7 linked regions of the Macaca mulatta genome follow. The protein of the gene in region 5 purifies or fractionates together with the protein of the main gene of each other region. This does not show direct contact. Links are inferred from orthologs where the notes say so. Each region holds a gene or a part of one and is shown on either strand. Other genes may lie near its edges. The genes, in order: ZMYM2, RELA, CTNNB1, ZFYVE9, PML, RARA and RPL11.

The links.
Region 1: the proteins of PML (region 5) and ZMYM2 purify together in Homo sapiens (affinity purification with western blotting; 3 studies listed by BioGRID, with this or other methods). This does not show direct contact. The link is inferred for Macaca mulatta from reciprocal best matches to the Homo sapiens genes PML and ZMYM2.
Region 2: the proteins of PML (region 5) and RELA purify together in Homo sapiens (affinity purification with western blotting; 3 studies listed by BioGRID, with this or other methods). This does not show direct contact. The link is inferred for Macaca mulatta from reciprocal best matches to the Homo sapiens genes PML and RELA.
Region 3: the proteins of PML (region 5) and CTNNB1 purify together in Homo sapiens (affinity purification with western blotting; 3 studies listed by BioGRID). This does not show direct contact. The link is inferred for Macaca mulatta from reciprocal best matches to the Homo sapiens genes PML and CTNNB1.
Region 4: the proteins of PML (region 5) and ZFYVE9 purify together in Homo sapiens (affinity purification with western blotting; 3 studies listed by BioGRID and IntAct, with this or other methods). This does not show direct contact. The link is inferred for Macaca mulatta from reciprocal best matches to the Homo sapiens genes PML and ZFYVE9.
Region 6: the proteins of PML (region 5) and RARA purify together in Homo sapiens (affinity purification with western blotting; 6 studies listed by BioGRID, with this or other methods). This does not show direct contact. The link is inferred for Macaca mulatta from reciprocal best matches to the Homo sapiens genes PML and RARA.
Region 7: the proteins of PML (region 5) and RPL11 purify together in Homo sapiens (affinity purification with western blotting; 3 studies listed by BioGRID, with this or other methods). This does not show direct contact. The link is inferred for Macaca mulatta from reciprocal best matches to the Homo sapiens genes PML and RPL11.

Annotation. Positions count from the first base shown.
Region 1 is NC_133422.1:1,840,430-1,844,425, forward strand, and holds the start of ZMYM2 (zinc finger MYM-type protein 2), read right to left. Parts: upstream 2,801-3,996; 5' UTR 2,708-2,800; intron 1,467-2,707; exon of another isoform or gene 1,067-1,466; intron 254-1,066; 5' UTR 185-253; intron 1-184. UniProt on the Homo sapiens protein: Involved in the negative regulation of transcription.
Region 2 is NC_133419.1:8,731,280-8,734,779, reverse strand, and holds part of RELA (transcription factor p65), read right to left. Parts: intron 2,909-3,500; coding exon 2,817-2,908; intron 2,491-2,816; coding exon 2,359-2,490; intron 1,532-2,358; coding exon 1,427-1,531; intron 1,211-1,426; coding exon 998-1,210; intron 1-997. UniProt on the Homo sapiens protein: NF-kappa-B is a pleiotropic transcription factor present in almost all cell types and is the endpoint of a series of signal transduction events that are initiated by a vast array of stimuli related to many biological processes such as inflammation, immunity, differentiation, cell growth, tumorigenesis and apoptosis.
Region 3 is NC_133407.1:104,579,637-104,583,133, reverse strand, and holds the end of CTNNB1 (catenin beta-1), read right to left. Parts: intron 2,923-3,497; coding exon 2,862-2,922; intron 1,806-2,861; coding exon 1,597-1,805; 3' UTR 1,585-1,596; exon of another isoform or gene 1,280-1,584; 3' UTR 501-1,279; downstream 1-500. UniProt on the Homo sapiens protein: Key downstream component of the canonical Wnt signaling pathway.
Region 4 is NC_133406.1:188,440,105-188,444,030, forward strand, and holds the start of ZFYVE9 (zinc finger FYVE domain-containing protein 9), read right to left. Parts: upstream 2,801-3,926; 5' UTR 2,698-2,800; intron 1-2,697. UniProt on the Homo sapiens protein: Early endosomal protein that functions to recruit SMAD2/SMAD3 to intracellular membranes and to the TGF-beta receptor.
Region 5 is NC_133412.1:51,727,166-51,731,319, reverse strand, and holds the start of PML (protein PML), read right to left. Parts: upstream 2,801-4,154; 5' UTR 2,680-2,800; coding exon 2,551-2,679; intron 548-2,550; exon of another isoform or gene 1-547.
Region 6 is NC_133421.1:64,730,025-64,733,524, reverse strand, and holds part of RARA (retinoic acid receptor alpha), read right to left. Parts: exon of another isoform or gene 3,468-3,500; intron 1,008-3,467; exon of another isoform or gene 889-1,007; intron 783-888; coding exon 634-782; intron 1-633. UniProt on the Homo sapiens protein: Receptor for retinoic acid. Retinoic acid receptors bind as heterodimers to their target response elements in response to their ligands, all-trans or 9-cis retinoic acid, and regulate gene expression in various biological processes.
Region 7 is NC_133406.1:217,305,161-217,309,410, forward strand, and holds the start of RPL11 (large ribosomal subunit protein uL5), read right to left. Parts: upstream 2,801-4,250; 5' UTR 2,778-2,800; coding exon 2,772-2,777; intron 2,011-2,771; coding exon 1,860-2,010; intron 836-1,859; coding exon 729-835; intron 1-728.

The sequences.
Region 1 (3,996 bases), on a different chromosome or scaffold from region 5:
GAAACAGCAGCGCCCACTCCCAGCTGCCTCACCAGCCATTACCCAGGCTTCGCCCTGGGGGCAGCTGCCACCCAAGGGAAAGCTCCTCCCCCTCAAAACAACTGGGAGGGCCAGGTCCCGTAGCTGAACCCCTACAACCTGACAATGTCCTCTATTAGCAACAAATTAGGGGCAAGGGACTCACAATGGGGGTGTTTTCCTCCTCACTTTCTGCCAAGGATGCACCGGACAGGGCTGAAGGCGATTCTTGGTCCTGGGACAGGAGGAAAAAAGAAAAATGTATCAAGAACACACAACCTGGTGGGAGAAACCAACCCTTTCTGCCAGAAGGAGGCAGAGAAGGGAATAAGAGGTCAAGGAGGTTCGGTTCTTCTATTATTACCCCACCACGCGCACAATAGCCCCCTCCTGCGTAAGTGGGGCAAAACAGCGCAAAATGTATATCTGGGGCCAAAACCCATGTGAAAGGCAAAATCTGGAAAGGAGGGGGCCTGAGGACACCGAGCCTGCTCCCGGGAAGGGAGGGGGGAAGGGAAAACGTTGCCTCGACGCCAGCAAGGGATTTGTATTCCCTCCTAAATTCGCCCACCCAGCGTCATCCCCGTCACTCCAAGTACCAATTCAGAGGTAAGGGGCGGCTCGCGTCACCGCTGGGCCGATATCGCCCACATTTGCCCCAAGCAGTTGCCCTGGGCCCGAGGTTTGCCCCCCCCTGCAGTCGGCGACCGGCAGCGCTGCCTCCCCGTCCGCCATTAGAGACCCAGCCAAACAATACGTGCGGAGCAAGAGCCGCGCAGCGCAGCGCCGAGGAAGAGAAGAGCGAAGGAGGGGACCCGGCGGGGCAGAGGCGGCAGCCCTCACCCCGAAAAACTTGGGGACCTCGGCTCCGGCGGACAGGGTGGGAGCGCGGCCCCGAGCGCGGAGACCCGGCCGGGGCGCCCCTCCCCCGCCCCCCGCAGGAGAGAAAGGAAAATGCCCCGCGACCTCCCCGGGCGGCCGGCACCCCCGCCCCGCCGTCCCGCCGCCCCGCCGGCCCCGCGACCCCCGCCGCTGGCGGCCGCCTCACCCAGCCCTCCCGGCCTCGCCCGCACTCTCCCAGCCCCTCGGGCCGCACGCGAAGGCGCCTGTGACATGAGCGCAGCCCCGAGCTGCCCCCGAGGCCCCGACGCGGCAGCGGCGACGGCGGCCGCGCCGCGGGGTATTAATCCCGGGTCGGTGGGAGGCTCCGGAGGCTGCCCTCACCCATCTCCGCCTCCCTAGTCGCCTCCGCCTCCGCCTCCTCCTCCGGAGGCTGCGCTGCTCCCAGCCACCCCCACTCTCGGCGGCCCCGGACTGGAAAGACAGCGGGGATAAGCCTCACCCGGTTCTGGCTGCGGCTCCGCGGAGCGAACCTCCCCTCCCCCGGCCCACCCCCCTTCGGCGACACGCACAACTCCGCTCGGTCCAGTCCCGGCTTTAGCGCTGGTGAGGAGGAGGAGGCGGAGGAGGCGGCGGCGCGGCCGAGCCCGGGGAGGCCCCGCCCTCCGCGCGCTCATTGGCTGACGGGGGAGGCGGGCCGGAGCGCCTCGGGCTTGCCCATTGGCTCCAACGGCAGTCCTTCAGGGCCCCCCCTCGGTGGGGTGGTCCGAAGGGCTGTCCGTCAGGTGCGGGCCACTCCCCCGGCCCTGCCGTTCCACTCCCGCCTCCGCCGGCCCTCGACTCCCGGCCGGGTCCCCTCCCCGCCGGTCCCCCGCCCCCACCCACCGGGTCTGCCAGGGTCAGGAGCCCGAGATTCGCTGCCCGCCGCACCGACCCCGCTTCGGCTCCTCAGGGCCCGGGGCTCTCCGGGACCTAGACAGCCCGGGAGACTCCGGCGGGGCCGCCTGCCCTCGCCCGAGCCTGGGCGCCCAGGCCGCGGCAGCGGCTCCCAACGCCCCTGCCCGAGGAGAGCCGCGGCCTCGATGCCCCATCGCCCTCCCTGTCCAGTTCCTTGAAGGCCCCTGCGAGGGGCGAGGCCGGGGAGGCGCTGGAGCGGGGCCGAGTGGGCTTTCGGGGCCGCGGGCGAACTGGAGCCCTGACTGCGCTGGGGGCAGTGGAGGCCCTTCCACCCTCGCCGCGCCCCGTGGGGAATAGTCCCCCACCTCCCGCCATGGCTGCAGCAGGAGGAGACGACGTCCTCCATTTTGTCGGCACGACTGTGGGAACTTGGGACCCCCTAAAAACCAAACCCCGTGGGGCCGGGAAACTTGTCCCCGGGAAGCCCCGACTGGGCTCTGCCATTCGGCCAAGGGAACAGCCCCGGCTGCTGGCGTCTGCGTCCGCGGGGCCGTAGGGGACGGGCACGACGGTGGAGAGACCCAGACGCCGCTCCCCGCCTCCATCAACCAAGATGGAGGGAGCTACGGGCTCCCCTGGAGCTGGGCTCCCGCCGGCTGGAGGGGCCGAGGCCCGCCCTGGGGCGTCCCTGGGCGCCGCCGTCCTGTGCTCCGCAGCCCGGGGCGCTGGCCCTGCCCAGGCCGCTCTACCGCCTGCCACCGTCTCCTGGTCCTCAACTGTTGATGGAGACTCCATGGAGGCTCCCTCCACAGCCCGCTCCATCGCGGGGCGCACTCGCTGCGGCCCCCGGGGGAGCGGAGTCAGGGACAGACGGCGACGGCGCCCGGGGAGGGCGGGCCCCACAGGCCACCTCCACGAGGGGTCTTCTCTTTTGTTCCTCGTCTACACCTACGTCTTCGGCGGACGTCATGGTGCTGAACCATTTCCAAGACTCACGTAAAGATGGAAGCGGTGCCGCTTGCTTCTCGCCCTGGCGGTTCTTAGTGGGATTACAACTGAGGGTGTTGGTTATTTTCCCACCCAAATGGATGGGCGACTTCTCCATTTCACCATTATCTGACACCATTGCCTATTAATAAACAGATGTATGGTAATACAGTTTCAAGTTCAACACGATATTGATGAACATGAAGTTTTCAGTGAAGTTAATCACCCATGAAAGACTGATGTTTAATAGACGCAACTTCACAGAGGAAATCTAGTAGAAGTTGAATTCAGTCACTCATTGAAAAATAAAGTAGGCTTTCCACCTTGTACTAAATACCTTGAATACACTGTTCTTTTCTATTGAAAAAAATTAATAAAATGTACTTGAACCAGCTTTTCAAAAAGTATCACTAATTTTTAGGAAACTTTTGTAACTAAAATTTTTTAGTTTTAAATACACTAAAATAGCCTCTTAAGATTTTATATTACACAGTGCTGTTTTAGACTGAAAAACTATCATCACAACAGAAACATCACAACAAAAACAGCCACTATCATCAAAACAGACACATCCTCTACTACCAAATTGTAATAATTTGGTGAAAACTTGCACCATCCCTTTTCTGCTGCCAGCTCGTATTGCAGTAGCTTCAGCTCATTGAGTTTATATTTAGAAGAGTAAAGTAGACATACTTCCAAATAAGCTCTGTGATAAACTTAAATGATAGATTAGGTTGCCATGTACTGTTCAGTTGGAGCTCTATACTGCTACTAATTCCCTAGTGTTATTGCTGTTTTATATAACTAATGAGCACCTGTGCTAATTATGGTATTTATATGCACTTTTTTAGTTCATTCAGGTACATTTGTCCATGAAACTCTTCATTGGTTTGCTAGTCTGATACCAGGGAGAATTTTCGTTGAGAATTTAGAACTGGGAAAAAAGTATTTGTCATAATGTTAAAAGCAGACTTAATTTTACATAAAAGTAATTTTAAAAATAAATGTTTGAATGTTCATAACAGCATTCATAATTTCCAACATCCCTAAAATGTCCATCAACTGATGAATGGATAAACAAAATGTGGTACATCCATACAATGGAACATTATTCAGACATAAAGAGGAGTGAAGTTCTGATATACGCTACAACATGGACAAACCTTAAAGACATTATGCTAAGTGAATAAACAAGACACAAAAGACCACTGAATATTTTATTCCATTTACAAGAAATGTCTAGAATAGGGAAAT
Region 2 (3,500 bases), on a different chromosome or scaffold from region 5:
GGGCTGAAGGGTAACTGAGGACAGTGGCGGAGATGTGATCTTGCTTCGCTATTCCTTCTACGAGGTTTGTGCCGCATCTTCTTTTCCTGGACTACAGCAACATCTTCCAGAATGGCCTCCCCGCTTTGAGTCTGTTCGTCTCTGATCTTCTACATGTGGCTTCCTGAGTCAACTTCCAAATCTGCTCCTGTCACTTCTCTGCTTAGAGGCCTTCAGCTTAACCACGCCCTCCTCTGAGCCTGCTCACTGCCCAACATCGGCTCAAACCACGAAGATGCCCCCAAACAGGCCGTGCAGTTGCCAACACCCCTTCCCTTCCAGGTGCTTGGCCACCTGCCTAGAGAACACACTTCCGTGTCTTTCTCCAGCTTCAACGCCACCTTCTCCATGCAGCTGTCTCCAGCTCCCCGGAGGCCACCGTGCCCCCGTGCTGCTCTGCACACACCTCTGTTTCACATGTCATTCTGTGACTTAAGGATCTGTTTTGCATATTTGTCTTCCTCAAGTGACTGAGATTCTGAGGGCAGGGAGCCTGTCTTACTCATTTTTTGTATTCACAATACCTGGCACAGGCCCTGGTACCAAGTAGACATTCAAACCTTGACCAAAATGTGGCTGAGCTCTATGGTAGTGACAAGACAACCAGTGTGGCAAAAGGACCTTGAAGCCAGATGGCCTGGGTTCCAATGCTGACTCTGCTACTTACTAGCCACGTGAACCCAAGCAAGTCAGACACTATCTCCTACTTCAAAAGGGTCATGACATTAGAATCAGGTGATCCAGTGAAATGCCTGGAATAGGGCAGATGTGTAGTACTAGCTCAACGTCTGAGGTATCCTTATCATTAAATGTGGCAAGAAATGGATTCCAATTACCATATAAATCCCAAGCTCTGACTCCAGCTTCTGGCCCTCAACTACAGCCCCAGACATGCGGTCTTGGCCTCTCTCTCATGGCAGAGCCCAGCTGCCCTGATGCTGCCATCCCAGCTGTGTACCTGTATCTGGCAGGTACTGGAATTCCATGGGCTCACTGAGCTCCCGGTCGGAAGGCCGCCGCAGCTGCATGGAGACACGCACGGGAGCCTGCAGGCTGGGGTCTGCGTAGGGAGGGGTCCGGAACACAATGGCCACTTGTCGGTGCACATCAGCTTGTGAAAAGGAGCCTCGGGCCTCCCAGCCTGGTCCCGTGAAATACACCTCAATGTCCTCTGCAGGAGATGGGGTGGCAGTGTGGGTCAGTGTGTCTAACCCTCCACGGTCTCCCCCTCAACTTCGGATGCTTGTCTTCTAATATCACCCTTCGGCCCACCTGAGGCCCCTGAGGCATAGGAGGAAGTATCCAAAGCCAGTTGCCTGCCACGCCCCGTCTCTGCTCAGCTTCACCCCTTGCTCCCAAGAGCCCACCCCTGCCTCCTGATGTATACCTTTCTGCACCTTGTCACACAGTAGGAAGATCTCATCCCCACCGAGGCAGCTGCCAGAGTTTCGGTTCACTCGGCAGATCTTGAGTTCGGCAGTGTTGGGGGCACCTGAGGCAGTGAGAACAAGGAAGGATGACCTGAGCCACCAGAGGTCCCCGGGGTGGCCTGCAGGAGATGCAACTTCCCTGCCTAGCCCCAAGTCAAGGTTGCCCAGAGCTTGCCACCTACACCTTTGCAGCCACAGTCAGACCTTCTTATTAGCTCCTCACCCCAACCAATTCAACAAGTATTTGCCTACTGATCTAAGCAAGGAGAATACAACCACATACAAAACCTAAACCTCTGCTCTCACGGAGCTTATAGTCCAGTGAGTGCCAATCTGATCACACTGTGTCTCCACCTGACCAAAGCAATCTTTAAGGTCAGTCCATACCCACCTTGGCAATGAGCCCTTCCCTCCTGACCCCCAGTTTATCCTGGTTTCCCATCTTTGGGGTTCCAGAGTCGTTTTATTTCCATTCATCCTGCTGGTTACTTAATTAAAGACTGCAGCTGATCAGTCAGCCCAATTCGTCTGCGGGCTTCTGTCACTGAAGCATCATTCTCGAACACTATCTTATTCCTGGGAGTTCGTTTCCTAGAGTCATTATCGCAGTTGTGGGCACACCACCTTCTCATCACACGATACTGAAAATGCCCATTTCCCATCAGACTCCCTGCTAGACTCCCTGCCAGGCCGGAGCTACACCTCAAGGACAGCTCTGGGTCTTCTTTGCCTTCTCTCCCCAGCCAACAAAGAGCTGGGCACAGAAGAGAAGATGAATACACAAGATGACTGATGAATCAGAGCACCTCTTGCAGGCCACACTCACCCCAACCCCTTCCTCCTATCCAGGCCCACCCTCTCCCCTTCCTGTGTCTCCCTCGCTACTCACGGTTGTCAAAGATGGGATGAGAAAGGACAGGCGGCAGGCGGAGGGGCCTGCCTGATGGATCCCGCACTGTCACCTGGAAGCAGAGCCGCACAGCATTCAGGTCGTAGTCCCCACGCTGTTCTTCTATAGGAACTGGCAAGAAAACAGGTGATCAGGAGAGCAGGGGAAGTGGGGATATAGGTGTGACCAGTTGGGGCAGGGAGCTCTGCTCTGGGAGGGCCGCTGGCGAGTGTGTAAAACACAAGTCCTAGAGGAGGCAGAACCCAGCAGTGACTCCACTGTGACCTGAATGTCATGTCCCCTCCTGGGCCTCAGTTTCCCAATGGCAAAGTGGGAGAGTACCGAATGGGCACCAAGAGTCCATCTTTACCGTGTACTGGCCAATGAGGGAGATGCAGGAAAGGCGGGCCAGGGAGGGTGGCAGAGGGTGCGGGGGCGGCAGGCAGGGTAGCCCTCACCTTGGAAGGGATTGTTGTTCGTCTGGATGCGCTGAGTGATAGCCTGCTCCAGGTCCCGCTTCTTCACACACTGGATTCCCAGGTTCTGGAAACTGAGCACCCCCAGCCATCTGTCCCGCTGTCTCTCACACAGCCCGGACCTTCCTGCCTTGCCCAGCCTGCTCCTTCCTCCCCCACCCACCCCCAGACCATCGCTCCATGCTTGACCCCCTCCAGTGGCTTCCTACTGTGCTGCAATGAACCCTGTCCCTTCCCTCAGCTGACAAGCACCTCCGTGCCCCCGCCCCTGCCAGCCTCCCCGTGGGCTCCCTGCTTACAACCACAGGCGCTTCTTTTCCATTCTCTAAACACAGGACACTCATTCCCACCTCAAGGCCTCTGCACTTGTTTGGTCGGCTTGGAATGTTCTTTTCCTACTTCTCTCCTCCTTCTCACCATTCAAGGAGGGAGGCCTTCCCTGACCTTCCAATCTAAAGTCATCACACCAGCTCCCGTAACTCCCCCACCCCAGGTTATCCTTCTATCCTATGACTTTGTTTTATTTTCAGGACTGAAATTGTTACTCTGACAGCACCTTGTTTATTTATCTGTGTATTTATTTATTTTTAAGAGACAGGGTGTTGGGCCGGGTGCGGTGGCTCACACCTGTAATCCCAGCACTTTGGGAGGCTGAGACAGGCAGAT
Region 3 (3,497 bases), on a different chromosome or scaffold from region 5:
TGACTGATAGGATCATCTGGCAGATAGATAGTGTGGAAGGCTCATTCTGGTTCTGATTATGTTCAGATAAACATCATCACTTAAACCTATTTAATTATTAGTTCAAAGTAGAGTTGAAGGAATTCCCCTCTCCCAATGAGTCACACTTGTGTGAAGGTGATTCAAATCCAAATCCAGGTAGTTAATATTTCATTACCTTAATGGAATCAAACCATCGGGGAGATTGGGGTAGAGAGAGATAGATGATAGACAGTCTGCTTGGCTTTCTCCCACAAAAGCCCAGAACTAATCACAATGTGCAAGGCTGAAACACGTTTTTGGGGGTGCAATGTAACCCAGGGCCAAATGCTGAAGAAACTTGGCAAATTGCATCTAGAGAAGGGCCTCTCTATCGCTATAACAAATTACTTCACTATGTATCTTCCTCAGTATAAAGTTGAGTTGGATAAACTTACCACCCTCACCATTTAATGACAAGAAAAAAAAAGAGTGACACAATCGAATGAATTAAAAGTTTAATTCTGAACCATTTTTTATAACCGCATTTTCTCTTGAAGCATTGTATCACAGCAGGTTACAACAACTTTGGGATAAAAGGCAACTGGTAAACTGTCCAAAACAAGGTTCCAAATAACACCTCTTACTGATTTACCCTACCCATACATATCCCAAATAAAGTTTTTGATCAAAAACATGAAATAGATCCACCTGCTTATTTTAAGCATATTAAAAAGGAAACTAATTGGACCATTTTCTATTTGTCTATTTTATACAAAAAGGCTACACAATGTTACACTTTATTCAGATTACAATTATTAGAGTGATTATGAATTAGTGTTCTACACCATTACTCAATTCTTAAAAATTAGAAATTGCTGTAGCAGTATTCACTATAACTTAACACTACGAGAGACTTAAACTAACAGTTACTGCAAAAAAAAAAAAAAAAAAAAAATTAAAGAGCTACTTCAAAGCAAGCAAAGTCAGTACCATTACAGATATTAAAAAAAAAAAAAATTTAACAAGCAAGGCTAGGGTTTGATAAATTCCATCTTGTGATCCATTCTTGTGCATTCTTCACTTCTTGAGTCACTCCCAAAATCCATTTGTATTGTTACTCCTCGACCAAAAAGGACCAGAACAAAAAGTTTACTTCAATTGTTCCCATAGGAAACTCAGCTTGGTTAGTGTGTCAGGCACTTTCTGAGATACCAGCCCACCCCTCGAGCCCTCTCAGCAACTCTACAGGCCAATCACAATGCAAGTTCAGACAATACAGCTGTATAAAGAGAGAAAGGCTGCTATTAATGTTTAAAACAGCAAATGTTACTCATTTGAGTATTAAGTTGCAAAAGCTGTGGCAAAAAACATTAAAGTTAATAACTTCCACACATGATCACATAACAACCAGAAATCTGAGAACATTCCGATGTTCCAAGACATCTCCTTTCAAAGTATATACCTGTTTTTGTGGCAGATTTACAAATAGCCTAAATCACTCCCACCCTACCAACCAAGTCTTTCTGAAATTCTGTAGGCAGAGTAAAAGTATTTTACCCAAACTGGCTTTTTAAAACTTCTTACCTAAAGGATGATTTACAGGTCAGTATCAAACCAGGCCAGCTGATTGCTATCACCTGGAGGCAGCCCATCCATGAGGTCCTGGGCATGTCCCAGATCTGGCAGCCCATCAACTGGATAGTCAGCACCAGGGTGGTGGCCACCCATCTCATGTTCCATCATGGGGTCCATACCCAAGGCATCCTGGCCATATCCACCAGAGTGAAAAGAACGATAGCTAGGATCTAGAAGAGTCAGGGTATGAACAAAATAGGCAAGAAGGAAGGCAAAAGAGAGAGGAGAGAAACAGACATAGACATTAACACTGAGGTTAGGGCATCCAAAGTTCAGCAGCAAACTTGTCAGAAAACAATGCTTTCTAGCCTCTTCAACTTCTAGCTTTTTTTAGCCAAGTAATTACTCAGTGCCAGACCACCCATGAGACTACACAAATAACGTCTGTTTCCATCAGAGAGGCACACCAGCAGGGCCTAGTCACATCATTAGTCTAACCCTGAACACACTGCATTTACCCCTGTCAGACTTGGGGTTCCCAAGAAGGAGAAGCAGGAATCTACTGTGTGACCACCTAGGCAATGAGAACTCATGGGAAGGAGGATTAAGACAATAATGAGGTCTGGCAGGTGTAATCTATCTTGACAAAAAGTCCAAGTGACACCAACAAAAGTACTAAGGAAAGTTAAGGCACTATTTCAATGAAACCTCAACATATTTTATCTTAGGGTTGACATGTTATTTGTCACAGTAAGAATCTGCGCTTTAGTGGTTTCATAATTAGGTAGAAGCAGATGAGGTTATAAATGTAAGACAGTTGTAACTGTTACTGGTCTACCCCATCCTCTATGTTCATTACCCAGATGTGAATTCGCTTTTCAAGAAAACCCTGATAATGCAACTATGTAAAAACCCACCCCAGATCTGAGCCTAGAGACAGGAGTTTTCCTGTCTTCCTTGGGTAGCTTGTAGACAAAAGGTATTATGAGTCCTCTGGCCAAAAAGAGAATAAAAAGCCAGGTAAACTGTAACATCCTACACTGCAGAGGCCTAGTAGTAGCATGTATTTGTTGGTGGTGTAATCCTATTGCTATTCATTGTGTGGCTCTGAATTCCCTGTGCTCCGTTAAAGATACTGTTGCTGACTGGAATTTAAGAACTGCTTTTAATTGAAGCCATTACTTTTCTGCCAACACTAGTTTCCCAGATGAGCAAACCAGCTCTTCTGATCAAGTTTTAGAACTTTAGCTTGATCTGGAGTTAATCGAGAAATATGAGACGCATACCATCCTGGCGATATCCAAGGGGTTCTCCCTGGGCACCAATATCAAGTCCAAGATCCGCAGTCTAGATAAACAGGCACAAGGCAAGAAAGAATAAAAAGCAAAATGAAAATTCTCAACTTAAAAGTACACTAATTTTTTTAAAGCATACTTTCAGATTACAAAGGAAACAAGTAACTCCAACATTACACAAATACTTAGAAAATGGAAGTTCTTCAAAACTCCACCCCTCAAAGATACATTTTTTTCTCTTTGCACCTCACATTAAAAATACTCACTGACTTGATCTTTCAACAAATACATATTAAGCACCAACTATGTGCTGCCAGGCACTGTTCTACGTGCTAGAGATATAGCAGTTAAAAAAAAAAAAAACAGGCAAAATGCCTACCCCCAAACAGGAGCTGCTGACAGGATGTGTTGTATGAAAGAAAAGTTTTAGCCTGAGCAGCTGGACAGACAAAGCTGACATCAAGACAGAGAAGACAGTCAAAACAGGTTTGTGGAAGGGGGTAGGTGGAGAAAGTTAAGGGCTCAAGTTGGAACATGTTAATAAGATGCCTATTAAAAACCCAAGTAACACACCACTCACTGGTAATTTGCTCTCCTTTATTTATTTATTTTTTTTTTGAGTTGGAG
Region 4 (3,926 bases), on a different chromosome or scaffold from region 5:
CTCCACCCGCAGAAAAACCAGTATCACCCCGGACCCTTGCAATCGACGACCACAAGCCTTTAAGGGGTTATGTTATAGTTGAGGAGATGTTATCTTGACCACCAAATATCAGGGCTGGACCTCCTTAGAGGGTTGCACCACCCTAAAACCCTACCTCCACTTCACCAAAGGAACCACCCCCTCAAATTGCCAAAACCACCAGTGCAACCCAGTACTTCTCTCTATTCCTATCCCCACCTCCACCGACCGTATCCCCACTTTAGAGCGCCTTTATGGCCTAGGAGCGGATGTCACTGCAAAAGACCCTACAGGCATCTTTGAAATGAGGTTTGCTCCTCCTCCTCCATCTCCCTCCATTACTCACTTCCCAAAACCACAAAAATCAAACCATTTCTCGCTTCATGTCTAATGACAAAACCAAAGTAGCTATAGTAGAAGTAAAGGATTTACAGCAAACCCTAGCCATAGAAACCGGTTATCAAGATGTAAATGCCTAGCTGGAATGGATTAAATATTCCATTCACACCCTAAATAAAACCGATTGTTACGCTTGTGCAACAGGCAGGCCAGAAACCCAAATTGTTCCCCTCCCACTCAGATGGGCCAACCCATCAGGCAAAGACTGTATGGTAGCTCTCTTCCAGCACCTCACAGCCTGGGGAAACAAGTCATGTGCCACTCTTTCACTACTTTTCCCAAAAGTCAGGAGCCCTATGGGACAGCCCCCAAGGGACATTCGACTTCCTGCTCTCAATGCCAATTTTACCTTGTGTCTCTTACAACAAGGGGAAAATTTGACATTCCTTGGAAACCTGATGGGATGCAGTGGACCTAAACCTTTTCAAGAGCTAACCAATCAGTCAGCCCCAGTCCATCCCCAAGTGGATGTATAGTGGTATAGAGGGGGACCAATATTTGGAACACTGCCAAGCAACTGGAGTGGCACTTGTGCTCTGATCCAATTGGCCATCCCTTTCACCTTGGCATTTCATCAGGAAGCAGGTAACCAGAAGAAAAAAAGAAGCCCCAATAAATGGGTCCTTTGACCCCCAAGTTTACATAGACAGCATCGGGGTCCTGCAGAGGGTACCAAATGAATTCAAAGCTCAAAACCAAATACCCACCAGGTTCGAGTCTATATTATTCTGGTAGTCCACTATAAACAAAAATGTAGACTGGATACATTACATATACTACAATCAGCAGCAATTCATCAATTATACCAGAGATGCCATAAAAGGAATTGCTGAAATTAGACCCCACCAGCCAGATGGCCTGGGAAAATAGAATAACCCTTGACATGGTGTTGGCCAAAAAAGGTGAAGTCTATGTCATGATCAGGGTCCAGTGTTTTATTTTATTCCTAATAATACAGCCCCCGACGGGACAATCATAAAAGCCTTACAAGGCCTTACCATCCTAGCAAATGAACTAGCCGAAAACTCTGGAATAGACGACCCCTTTACAGGACTAATGGAAAGGTGGTCTGGAAAATGGAAAGGACTCATGACCTCAATCTTTACCTTCCTTGCAATTGTTAGAGGTGTACTCATCCTTGTGGGTTGCTGTATCATACCCTGTATTTGTGGGTTAACCCAAAGGCTCACAGAAGCAGCTCTCACAAAAACCTCCCCAACCTCTCCCCCTCTGTACTCAGATAAGCTCTTGCACCTAGATAATCAAGAAGAACAACATAGCCAGATCCTGTTAAAGAAACTTGAAGATGAAGAACTATAAGACAGAAGAGGGGAGATTGTTGGTACAACTGAGTTCCTCTTCAAAGACTCAACTTCCTGGTCATAAGTTGTAAACAATCCTACCCCCTCTTCTGTTAAGCCTAACCATTTCTTCTTTACCCACCCTGCCCCTTCACAAATCACACATTTACCTTATTTGGAAAAGTTTAAGCCTTAGCCAGTGAGGATCAGCTTAGATTATGCAGTCCAACTCCAGTCAATAGGGGAAAGACACAGAAACAGGAACTGTGTTAGGGTTAAAAGCCCCTTCCTTCCTTCCTTTGTTCGGTGTGCTCCTGCATTTGTAACAGGAGTGAACAGCACCCTTCTGCAGAAGTAAAAGTGCCTTGCTGAGAAAATTTCTGTCTTAAGTGCAGGTTTCTTTTGGCTACACCAAGCACTTGTTTCCAACACAGATACTGGGGGTTCACACCCTTAAATAATCTTAAGACTTGAAAAAAAACAACATGACTCCTAGTTAGGAAAAAGTCAAGGGTTCCTGCTCTACAAGAATACTTCCAATTTTCTGCTGGAAATTATTGCTCTACATAATAACTTATCTAAAAATACAAAATAAAATAATGTAATTAACTTTACATTTCTGATTCCCCATCCCCAAATCAGCTTTACTTGTTTAGCTCTTGCATGAGCTAAAATATTGCTCAAAGTCATATTTTTTTCTGAAATTACCTTTCTATACTCAACTAACTCTAAAACGAAGGAGCCAGCACTGGTAGGGAAATTAACATTGTGACCACTGTGACATAAAATAACAGTGATTTTTAAATACCCTTTTCCTCTGAATTTAAGTCAAATCTTTTTGAAGAAAATCATACTCCTGATTTAATAAGATACAATGTTACAAATGAAGCAAATAACATATATGCATCAGTATTATCTTCTATAGATCTCATTGGTTTCTCAAGTTCAATCTCTAAGAGAAATAAAAACATTTTCTTACCTTTTTCCCCTTACACACGTGATAAGGAACAGACTTCTCGGTGCTTACTCATGCTTGCTGCACCACCAGCCAGTCCTGCTGATTCAGTATGCTCTGTTTGATCCTAAATGAAAAACACATTGCTCATTACACTTGATGAAACAATAAACCCTAATTTTCTTCATATAAATCTATCATAGCCAGACAAACAAAAGCAATGGGGCTTGAACAGTAAATACAATTATACCTTTGGATTCAAAGACCTGGCTTGCATGCAAGGCAGCAACAGAGACATTTTATTGTCTGAAAAGGCCAAAAGTTAAATGTTTCAACAAAGAAGAGTTTTTGCACGTTTATTTTCAATGGATAATGCAAAGTGAAACATCAACAGCAGGCACTTTCTACCCAATGACTTCAATTGTGTTAATTCATAAGTATATAATTTGCCTTATAATGGGCCCTCCAAGAATCCAAAGCTAAGAAAACTGCTGCTTCACAAGAATGTCCTTCTAGCGCGATTTTTTTTCAATACATACAGAATTCTTAAGTTGAGTTTCACAAGTTTCTTGTTGTGATTTTTACTGCCAAACTATTTTTTTCTCCAAATGGAGTCTCTTCATTCCAGTCCTCCTCCAACTGCTTAGAAGCAATGGATCTATTAACCCAATATTAACCTTCCCTATCAGGGGTGTATGCAAAAGACAAAGGCTCTTCAAATATTACTACCCTCTTGTGAAAATATGACAATATCCATTAAGTTATGGTAGCCCAACTATAACTGCTTAGAGACAATGTAAAATTCTTTAAGGGCCTAATTTAGCCTTGAACAAGATTAGTAGTTGAAGCTAATCAGAATAAAACTAAGACTATGAATATTATATTATCAGTATAAAATATCTAACACATAATCATAGTATTTTCAGAACAGGTAAGTATATTGGAGATAATTTAATGAACACAGATAAACTGTGTTAAAGATAAACTGAGGCAGCAAGAAAAATTTCCTGACATTACAAATATTCTATTATCAGACGTGAAAATGATGTGCTTAATAAAAAATAAGAGAATAAGAAAAAGACCTAAAATTCAAGTTTCCAAGACCCAATAAAGAATAAAGAATGAAAATCACTGGTAAAAGATTTCCCTGTCTTGAGAACTAGAAAAATATGCATGCTATGATATACTCTAAATGAGAAGAGCTACTGACACTAAGAAACAGATTTATATCTATTAAATAAAGGACTAAGTCA
Region 5 (4,154 bases):
AAATGTAGAAACAATCCAAGTATCCATCAACAGATGAATAGATAAACAAAATGTGGTCTACACATATAATGGAATATTATTCAGCATTAGAAAGAAATGAAATTCTGATCATGCTACAACATAGATGGACCTCAATGACATTATGCTAAGTGAAATAAGCCACACACAAAAGGTCAAATACTGTATGATTCTGAGGCAGGAGAATAGGGTCTGGAGGCAGGGAACCTAAGGCCGATTCCCTCTGACTTCCTAGAACTAAATCCAAAGGAAAACCCGAACTCTCCACGCCCAAGTAACAAAAGGACCAGAGGCTACTCTCTTTGCAAAACACCCCATTTCCTGCCTGGCAGATGGAAAATTGAAAGCACCTCTGATTGGTTGCTTTCTACAACCAATGGGGTGAACACCAAGTGGCCAATGGGAAACCTCTAGGGCATATTTGGAACCCAGAAGATTCTGTAACTTGGGCCCTTGAGCCCTGCTCCAACCCATCCCACCCTGTGGAGTGTACTTTCATTTTCCATAAATCTCTGCTTTCATTGCTTCATTCTTTCCTTGCTTTGCTGTGCATTTTGTCCAATTCTTTGTTCAAAACGCCAAGAACCTGAACAACTTGCGGTCAAGACCGTCTACTGGTAACAATTCCACTTATATGAAATATCTAGAATAAGTAAGTTTGTAGGGACAGAAGGTAGATTAGAAGTTACCAAGGGCTAGGGGAAGGAGAAAATGAGGAGCTATTGCTTTACTGAGACTCAGGACACACCACTTCAAAATATGACTGCAGGAGGCCAGAATATGCCACCCTTGAAATATACTTTGTTGGCATATTTTAAGCTGGTTATTCTGAGAAACTGCTGATACAGGAATAGCTCTGAAAAGCTCTCCTTTTGTAAAACAGAAAGGCATTTGCATCCCAAAGAAAATCTACATTAGTAAAATGGTCTATATTAAAAGAGGGCTGCTCCAGACAACTCTTATTATCTAAGAACTTTTTATCTACATAGCAAGACAACAGCTCCTCTCCTCACCCTCCCATAACTTGTGTCATCATCACCACCCAGAAGCTCCAAGCTCTTTTCTGTGGATCAGGATGTTATATAGGCTTCAATCATCTGACCTTTCTTTGAGTCTCATACTTTGTGGGACTCCTGAGTATACATATGTAATTAAATATGGGTTTTCCCCCTGTTAATCTATTTTATGACTATTTAATTCATAGCCCAGCCAAGGAAACTAGAAGGGTGGAGGGAAGCCATCTTTCCCTCCCCTATGGTTTAAAGGGTACAGAGTTTCTGGAGCAATTAAAAAGTTCTGAAAATAGATGGTGGTGATGGTTACACAATATTGTGAATCTACTTAATGCCACTGAACGTTACACTTAGAAATGGTTAACATAGGAGCTTATCCGTTACGTATATTTTACCACAATTTTTAAAATACAAAAGCAGTCCGGGCATGGTGGCTGACGCCTGTAATCCCAGCACTTTGGGAGGCCGAGGTGGGCAGATCACGAGGTCAGAAGTTAGAGACCAATCTGGCCAACATAGTGAAACCCCATCTCTACTAAAAATATAAAAATCAGCCAGGTACGGTGGTGTGGCCTGTAATCCCAGCTACTCAGGAGGCTGAGGCAGGAGAATCACGTCAACCCGGGAGGAGGAGGTTGCAGCGAGCAGAGATCGCACCATTGCACTCCAGCCTGGGCGACAGTGCAAGACTCCATCTCAAAAACAAACAGATAAACAAACAAACAAAAAACAAAACAAAACAAACAACAAAAAAAACCAAAGTGCTTAATACAGTACCTGGCACATTTGAAGTGCTCATAAATGTTAGCTAGTGTTGTTAAGTAATGTTATTCTTAGTTGTAATAATGCTTATAAAAGTTACTGTAATACAGTGTCCTCTGTACTTTCATGAAGGGGAGCAAAAGGGCCTGGAAGGCAGCAGAACAAGAAACCCAAGTAGTTCCTTTGGGGGTGGAGGTGGGAGGTAGGCAGGACAGGTGTGGCAAGAGAAGGGTTTGTTAGGGAGGCTTCCTTAAGCAGAAACCACATGAGCTGGGAGGCCTTGGCAAAGATACCTCTTCAGTCTGAGCCACAGTTTCTCACCTCGGATCTGGGAAGTTGGTTTTAGTTTTGCTGTGCCTGGGACAGGCTCCTGGCTCCAGGCCAGCGCAACAGGGCTACCACCTCCATCCTCCCTAATCTGTGGTCCTGCATCTGAGGCAGGGTTGAGGCAGGGCTCGAGGGTGGGCGGAAGGGCCCAGGCCCGGAGGCCACTGACCCTTCTCACCTTGCCCAACTGCTCCGTGGAGAAACCGCAGCCCAGCGAGGCCGCCCCAACTCCTCCGGGTCCTCTTTTCTACTCTATCCTACCCTCCCATGCCCCAGCCAAGAAGGTCAGGACCCTGGTGTGTGGTCTTTCCGCTTTGTGTCACTCTCTAGCGTACTTGACCAAATCCTCCGTTAGACCCTCTCTTCCCCACTCTCCCCACCACAGCAAACCAATAAAGCCTAACCCCATCATCCCCTAACCCAATAGTACCTCTGTAGGGCTGTGGCTGGGGCTGGGCTGACGGCCTTCCGAGGGGGTCTCGGGGGGAGGCATGGTGGGCGCGTGGGGCCGGGCGGGGTCCTGCTGGGGCCTCGGAGATCGGGCGGGTGCAGGCTCCATGGACCTCAGCTTAGTTTCGATTCTCGGTTTAGATCTTGGAGGGCGTGAAAAGAAACTAAAGGGGAGGCGTGAGCCAGTTGGCTGAGCCCCTTGAGCTGTCCGAAAGGGGAGGTGCCAGCTCAGGGCCCGCCTCTGGAGAGGAAGTGAGACAGAAGCTGGGGGCGGTTCTAGGGGCAGAGAGGCCGACTGTGGGTTTTAAAGACACGCCCAGAGCGGGGAGGAAGGAGAGGCGGGGAGCCGCAGACCTACTGCTGGCTTACGGTAAAGCGGGAGAGGCAGGGCAGAGCTGCAGAGGGGCAGCCCCACCCCCGGGTTTGATCCATTCATCAGTTCACACTGGCACTGCTTCGTGCCACCTCCTGCCGGGAGCTGGGCGCACAAATATGAGCCACACGCAGCCCCTGCTTTTTAAGAGCCCCAGATGTAATGGAAGAGCAAGCTTGCAAACGGAGACATTCTGGAAAGGAGAGCCCTCAGCTGGGACCTGAAAAAGCAGTGGGAATTCACCAGGGATTCAGGGCTGTAGGTGGTGGGGTCCAGGGGACACTGGAAACACAAAAGATAGCTCTTGCAAAAGGCATGGAAGTTTGAAACACGAAAGCCTGTTTGGGAACTAGTTTTGGCCGTTTTCAGATTTAAGAGGGAATTCATGAGAAATGATGCCCAAGAACTGTGCTGGGACAAGATCCTAACTAAGGAGATTGGACCAGTTCTGGGAGTGATGGGAAGTTGGTGAAGGATCTGGAACCAGGGAACAACATGATCAGCTGTGCATGATGGGACAGTCACTCTAACAACCTAGGGGCACGTACCCTGGTCTAGGACAGTGGCTGTGGGATGCAGAGGAGGGTCTTGAGTCAGAGATCCTGGGAAGCCAGTGACTGGAGGTGAGGGAGCAGGGTGACGCCTTGAGTGACAGCTGGAAAGGCTGGTGGATGTGAGGTGGTGGGGGCAGGAGGGAGGGGGAGAGCTGGAGAGCGGGTATGAAGAGGGAGAGGGGAGAGCCAGCTAGGTCTTCACCAGTGGAAAAGCATGCCAGACTCCCAGCTGGTGAGGGGGAAAGGGCACAGCTCCAGGTGACCTCACTGGGCCAGTGCCCCTGGCTTCAAACTTAAACCATCGCAACCACTGTGCTGGCTCCTGTGTACCCATTCTGTACTCTGTTCCAACTTAGAAACAGACTAGAAAGGATGATGATAGGGCCTGGCTCTTGTAAACCTTATAGTATGCGGGCTGGAGGTCAAGGGTTGGGTGGATACCCAACTTCCTAGGGACTGTAAGAGGCCTCAGGAGCCTGCCCTTCCCTCCAGCCTGGTCAGTACTCCCAGGCCTTTAGAGAATCAGTCCATGAAAGCCAAATACGGTGGGCAGCCATCTGCACAAGGGACCTGGAAGTGGGCTATGGCAGGATGGGGCTTTGGAGGCCAGAGGCGATTGGCTGAGGAGGCAGAGCTGGGGAAGCTTTATTCATTTAT
Region 6 (3,500 bases), on a different chromosome or scaffold from region 5:
TGAAGAGCAGCCCAGAGCTGCAAGGCCCAAACCTGTGCAGATTCTGAGCCCCAATATCTGGAGGAAGAAATGCACACAGAGGCTCAGGCCCTGGGGAAAGGAGGAGAAGCTGGGCACAGGGCTGCTAAGGACCGGGTACACCTGCACCCTGGCACCTAACGTGAGGGTGGGGAAATTCAGCCAGACACCGGGGAGCCCACAGCCCGGGCACCTGAAGGGGAAGCCAAGGCATGGTGCCTGCTCCTAACTGCCTCCTGCCAGGCTGCCATGGTGAGGTTCAGGCAGGGCCGCCGAGGGAGGCCTCCTGGGTCCCCAGCCAAGAGCCAGTCGGCAGCCAGCTCACCATGGCAACCTGGGCAGCGGTGGCAGAGCAGGCATACGCCCTGCCAGCTGGAGGATGGAGAAAGGGAAAGGAGCTGAGGCAGGAGGGGACCTCTGGTTTGAGGGAGCCCTGCACATTTATGGGGCAGGACCTATGGTAGGTGTCCCTGCTTATTGCCAACTTCCACAGAAAAACAACAGCAGCAACTTCAGGGACACCCCCCACCCCAACTGCACACTCCCAGGACACGGAAGTGGGGATATCCCACTGACCTCATCAAGCTGTCCTTCCCAATGACCCCTTCAACTCACCTTGCAGCCCTCACAGGCGCTGACCCCATAGTGGTAGCCTGAGGACTTGTCCTGACAGACAAAGCAAGGCTTGTAGATGCGGGGTAGAGGGGGCGGCGAGGGAGGGCTGGGCACTATCTCTTCAGAACTGCTGCTCTGGGTCTCAATGGCTAGAGAGAGAAGAGGGGAGGGGCAGTTAGAGACCTAGGCCGCCATCCTTAGTACCAAGCTCCACCCTGCCTCACAGTCCCTCCTAAGAGCCTCTCCCAGCCTCACCACTGCTGGCAGGATTCAAGTCTTAAGAAAACTGGGACTCCCCAGCCAGACTCAGGGAAGGAGGCTGCCAATGAAGCCTCCAGCGCCCCATCACTCCTCCGGATTCCTAGGACCCACACCTTCAAAACCACAAAGAGACAATGATAAACCATCAGATTTGTATGTGTGCCGTGACTGTGCTTGGGGAGTAGGGGTGGGGGTCACCCTGATTCTAAAGCTCTTGCCCCTGGGCGGCCTGGCCCCGTTCTCCCCCGAGTTAGGAAGGAGTTAAGGCTTGAAGAGGAGGGAGGGAAGAGGACACAAGCCGGGGGCAGAGGAAACTGGGGTCAACAGGATATTCAAAGCTGGCCACTCCCCCGCCCCCTCTGCTTCCGCTCCCCCCTCCACCCCATTCTGCCAGCAGCCACAGCCCCTCCTCCACCCAAACAATCCCAGGGCCAGGGACCCAAGGCAGGGGGTGCAAACAAGAGTCACAAATGCTGGGCAGAGCAGGAGGTGTCTCCCTGAGATAGGCAGGGAGACACCCTGAATACAGGGAGAAGAGTCCCCAGGGCCCCAGAATCCCATCATTCTGGGTACCCCCCATCTGGGGAGAGACGGCATGACAAAGGGGGTCTGTTCCCATCAATGCTCTGTCTGTCTGGCCTCAATACCATGTCCGGGTTAGTACCCCTCCCCTTCTGTTATTCAGCTCCAAGAGGGCAGCCAGGAGGGGTGACCCAGACAGCAGGGGCAGCCCTCACTGGCCAAATCCTCCCCAGTGCCTGGCTCCATGCCACCCATCACTGTAGGCAGAACAGGGCTGGGTTGGGCAGGGGCTATCTGTGTCCAAAGCCTGGGCAGCTAAGGGTGTTGGGTGCAAGATAAGAACTATGACTGAGGCAATCCCAGATTCCCAAGGGGCCACCCAGCATCGTCCTGAGGCCTACCACGTTCAAGTCCACTTGTCCAGGGCCAAGGATGGATGAGGATGCCTCGCCAAGTAGACAGATCCCTGCCTCCTCCCATATTCCACAGTCCTACTGAGCCCTACCCCAAACTCCAGCACATGAAACTGGCTGGCATTTAAAGGTGCCCACAGCGCCTGGCCCAGGCACCTTACAGACATGAGTCACATGGCCCCAAATCACATGGCCCTAAAGTTGGGGCACAGGGGAAGGAAGCATGGGAACACCAGGGGCTGACTCTGTGCTACCACCCTCTGCCCTTACCTGCAGACACAGGGGGAGCTACTAGGCGGCTGATGACAGGGAACTAGGCCAACAACCTCGGCAGGGCTTTCCTGGCTCTTAGTAGTACCTGGGCACCACTTCCTGGCCAGCCTGGCTGACCAGCACTGCTATGGCCCCTCATCCCCTTCCCTGCCCCAGACCAGCCTGCGGCAATGGGACAGTTGATGCCCACACTGCCCCCAGCCCAGTAGATTCTCTCCTGACCTCCCCCGTCTCCCCCTGCCCGCCCCCCACCCCCGTCTGCTCCTCACCCCAACACCAACTGCCCTGGCCTGGTTTTCTCCCACCTCATTCTCCCCAGGCCAGACAAGCAAATCAGACAGGCTGAGAGGCCTGAGAACAGCTGCTGGGGGGAGGTGGGGTTGGGGGGCCTGGGTGAGGCCAGGAGGCAGAAGGGGTGAGCCACAAAGGAGCCCTTTGTTGTGCTAACTTTTTCCAAGACGTAAAAGCAGTAACAATAGACAATCCAGACTGGCGGGGGGAGGGGGATCAAGGGCAAGGGGGTATGTGGAGGGCTGGGGGGACCATGGTCTAGAATCTCGCTGAGCACTCCGACCAGCAGAGGAAGAAGGCACCGACCTCCCCACCCCTCCTAATCCACCGTTCGCCCTGGGCCCCGCCTCTCCCAAGGCCCCACTTCTAAAATGAAACAGACTGGAAAGGGAGAAAGGACTGAGGGAGGTTTGGGGCACAGAGTGGGGTGTCAGGAGGGGAGCTAGGGTATGGGGAGTCATGGGGGATACCAGAAGGAGGGGTAAACAGCTCCAAGGCCTGGGACAGACCAGAGGGTAAAGACCCATAAAAACGTGGAGCTAAAGCAAAGTCCAACAGAGGGTGTTTACAGAACTGAAAGAATGTGCTTTTTAAAATCATTTTTTGGCAGAATGGGAGAGATGACCAGAGGCGAGGACTACAGTTTAGGCTAGGCAAGGCCTCCTTTTAGCCTACCCAATGGCAGCTTGGCTGCCTTGGAGGCTGTAACAAGCCTGCCCCCTACCCTCCAGCACATCCCCACCTGTCACCCAGGTAACCCAGCTCTGAGGTTTCCCTGCTCTGCCCTTTGAGCCCAGAGCTCGAGGCCCCACCTCCCCAGGCCTCCAGCCAGCAACCCAAGGAGGTGAGGTACAAGGATCAAGGCGGAGGTGTGGGGGACTCCGGAATCCTCACAACCTCTGCAAGAGGTAGGACACAGCCATAACTCCCTGCACACACAGGTGGGGCTGGGAGGGACACCAACGTGGGAGGGATTGCCCGGGCCTGGCCCCTCCCTGCTGACCTCCCTCCCCAGAGGCCCAGCCCACCAATCTCTCCTCTTCCTGCAGAAGGACTCAGGCTAGAGAACCACACCTTCTCAGCTCAAAGTTCCAGCGCCCCACAGAG
Region 7 (4,250 bases), on a different chromosome or scaffold from region 5:
GGCGTAAACCCGGGAGGCGGTGTTTGCAGTGAGCTGAGATCCGGCCACTGCACTCCAGCCTGGGTGACAGAGCGAGACTCCGTCTCAAAAAAAAAAAAACAAAAAAACAAAAAAACAAAACAGAAGTCAATAAAACTTGGCTAGGAACACAATCTGACTTCCTCACTACACCCCAACTACCCAAAATGACCTCTCCCAGCTTCCAAAGAACAGAGAAAAACCCAGATAAAGCAGAGGAATGAAATGACTCCCAAGCATCCTTTTTTTTTGGACAAGAGTTTCACTCTGTGGCCTACGCTGGAGTGCAGTGGCACAATCTCAGCTCACTGCAACCTCTACCTCCCGGGTTCAAGCAATTTTCATGCCTCAGCCTCCCGAGTAGCTGGGACTATAGGCGCCCGCGACCAAGTCTGGCTAATTTTTATATTTTTAGTAGAGATGGTGTTTCGCCATATTGGCCAGGATGGTCTCGAACTCCTGGCCACAAATAATCTATCCTCCTTGGCCTCCCAAAGTGTTAGGATTATAGGCGTAGAGCCACTGTGCCCAGCCTCAAGCATCTCTTAAACCACCAAGAATAGTTTAACCCTGCTGATTGTAAAAAGTCTTTTAGAAACTTAAATAATAAATGTCAAGGCACCAAAGAACAGAACATTAAATGTAACTTATCTACTTGTGTTATTAAGTGGGTGCTCATTAATATCACTCCATTAGGGGATTAGCCTCACCTTTAGACCCTTCTCCAAGATTTCTTCTGCCTTGGCCCCTCGAACTGTGCAGTGGACAGCAATCTTTTCATTTCTCCGGATGCCAAAGGACCTGACAGTGTATCTAGCTGCAGAAAGGGGGTAACAAGGAGTCAGATGCCATCACACCCCCACTACACTCACCTCCTTCCCAGAACACCATCTCCATGACTTAAAGAGGCATTAAGTATTCATCCACACTCTAAGTTGTGGTGTTCTAATTAGTGTCGCCTACATCTATTAATAAGATTTCATCCACAGCAGATTTTCCCATTTCCAGACATCCAGCCATCCTTCAGCAGTTAAGAACAGTCATAATGCCAAAGTTCCAAGAAGGGCAAGTTCACAACCAGAATAAGCCAAAGAAGTCACTAGTAAGATTATCATGGTCCAAAGAAAATAAAGCATTATTGACAATAATCTAGTACTTGCTAAAACCTTATTATTATACTGTTGTCCACATTTTATACGTGAGGTTTTGAGAGGTTTATTAACTTGCACAACTGGTAATAAAAAGCAGGATTGGAATCCAAAGACTTGCCACATTTCACCATCCTAAAGCAACGGCACATATACAACTCATTTTATCTTCCACAATTATCAAGTATTACACCCTCTTTATGCAAATAAAAAAGCAGAGGTCCAGAGAGCCCAGAGTCAGACCAGCAAGTGGTGAAGCCATCACTCAAACCCAGGCAATCTGTATACAACTTTTGAGATAGGGTCAACCAGGCTGTAGTGCAGTAGCACTATCATAGGCCACTGAAGCCTCTCATGCTCCTGTACAGCCCTGTTCTTAAGGCAGCCTATATAACCCTAACTGCTAATCAGATCTAATGATCTTTACTTCGTTCCTGGTATTTCCACTCTATCTCATATCCTAGTTACTTGGGAAAATCTTTACTTGGGCTAGCCTTAGCTTAAGATCTGCTCATATAAAATCCAGTGTTCCAATCCCACATGCAATCTCGAAAACAAAGACACTTTTTGGTCGGCTCATGAATTTAACGCTTTAAGTGATGCCGACTGTCACTTTCTAAACAGACTCGACAGCAGGTAAATTAAACAAACAGGCGACCCAAGTGGGTAGCCCTGTCATTTGTCACTACTCACCTTTGGAAAACACAGGGGTCTGCCCTGTGAGCTGCTCCAAAACCTTGGCAGCTCGGGTCAGTCTGTCTCCACTCTCCCCAACACAGATGTTGAGACAGAGCTTGCGGATGCGAAGTTCCCGCATGGGGTTCTCCTTTTCACCTTGATCCTGCTGCAATGGGGAAGAGCAGCAGTCAATACACTCACAGCTGAGAGCCCTGAGTTTTTACTACTTTCTATCTGCACAGCATTTTTATTTCTGCTCATCCCAAATCGTAACGAAGAAGGTATCACCGTGTTTGGGAGGCATCAAGGAACGAAGTCAGCTCGGGACCTATTCTTCCTCCACGAACGGAACAGGTGAAGAGAAAACTCAGGACAGGTATTGAGTGTTAAAGGTTACGGACACTGAGATCGAACTCTAAGAGGCTCAGGATAACAAAGAGCGCCCCCACTGTAAGGGAAACTAAGGGGAGTAAGCGACGGAATAGAACTTAACTGCTAACAGGAAACACGTGGTTATGCGACGTTCAGCATCCCACTCGGAAGCTGTCTAAAGGCTGGCACCTTCCCTAAGCCGAGCACCCGGCTAAGGTTTCCTAGCACTCAGCAAGTCTCAAGTCCCCGGAACCAGGAAAAGGCGCGGACCCTTGCCTCAGAACCCTCCATTCACCCCATCTGCCCTAGCTGCAGCCTCCTGACAGTGCTTCTGAGCTCTCCCGGCAACTGCCCGGAGCCGCTCCTAAAATGATGGCAGGGAAAGTGACAGAATTCAACCCTGCGTCCTTGGCTCGAACGGCTCTGCCAGTTTTGGGCCGGCAAGCATTGAGGGGTCCATACTCCTCGGGCTGCAGGCGAGGTAGCCCCCGCAAGCTCGGCCTGCCATGGATGGCGACGGATAAAGAAAAGCAAATCCAGATCCCAGCTACTCACCGCCATGATGGGGTGCAGGAAAAGAAAACGGAGCTTCCGGCCCAGGGCCTTATGGGCCAGGAGGCGGGCTTTTTTCCCAGGCTAACCACAGAGATCAAGAAGAGGAAGAGAGGCGCATTTGGCTGCGCAGTGCAGCGTCGGCTTCCCCCTTGTGGGTAGGGCTAGCAACTGCAAGCAACGCTGGCTGAAGACCGGGATTTGGGTTTTCCAAAAATAGTTTTTGAAAGCTCCTAGAATCAGCACGACCTTGAGTTTCCGGACCTTGAAGACGTTCTCTCCTCCCAGTGTCAGGTGCTGGTGGTGCTTGTGTGATGAGACCGCCAAAACTACATTAAATCAATCATGCAAATTATGACGCAAATTTATTCTGTAGCTGGGATTATAGGCGCGCACCACCATATCTGTCTATTTTTTTTGTACTTTTAGTAGAGATGGGGTTTCACCATGTTGGTCGGGCTGGTCTCGAACTCCTGACCTCAAATGATCCACCTGCCTTGGCCTCCTAAAGTGCTGGGATTACAGGAGTGAGCCACCACGCCGGGCACAAATAGAATTTATACAAACGGAATGGTGTGGTAGCTCAAGAGTCCCGAGCTTGAAGACAGGCAGATGTGGTCCTGTCTCGATCAGTTAGTAGCTATGTGACCTTGGGCAAGTTACTACAGGGTGAGTATTCCTAACCTGAAAAGCCTGGGACCAGATGGTTTTTGGATTTGGGATTTTTCCGGATTTTGGAATATTTGCATAAACATAATGAGATATCTTGGAGATGGGACCCAAGTCTGAACATGAAATTAACTTATGTTCCATATACACCTTATACACATAGTGTGAAGGTAATTTTATACAATATTTTAAGTAAGTTTGTTCATGAAACAAAGTTTGTATACATTGAACCATCAGAAACCAAAGGTGTCACTATCTCAGCCACCCTTGTGGACAGTCTCTGGTTGGTTGGCCTAACCATTGTTCCAGACTGTAAATGTATATGCTACTGATAAGCAATACTTTCTTATGCTTATTCACATATGAGTACTTCACAGCAAAATATATGCTATGCCATTAATACCGTGAAAAAGTAATGTGTTCAGGGCAACTAAGCAGCAGAGGAGCATCACCGGAAAACCTGGATCAGCTGTGAAGCAACAGCGACCACCGGCCCCCACCCCACCCGCCACCAGGCCAGCCGCTGTGGCTCACACCTGTAATCCCAGCGCTTTGGGAAGCCGGGGTGGGTGGATCACTTAAGGTCAGGAGTTCGAGACCAGCCTGGCCAACAGGGTGAAACCCCGTTTCTACTGAAAATACAAAAATTAACCGGGCCTGGTGGTGCATGCCCGTAATCCCAGCTACGGGAGGCTGAGGCAGGAGAATCGCTTGAACCTGGGAGAGGAAGCTTGCAGTGAGCCAAGATCACCCCACTGCACTCCAGCCTGGGTGACAGAGCGATACCCTGTCTTAAAACAAATAAACAAACAA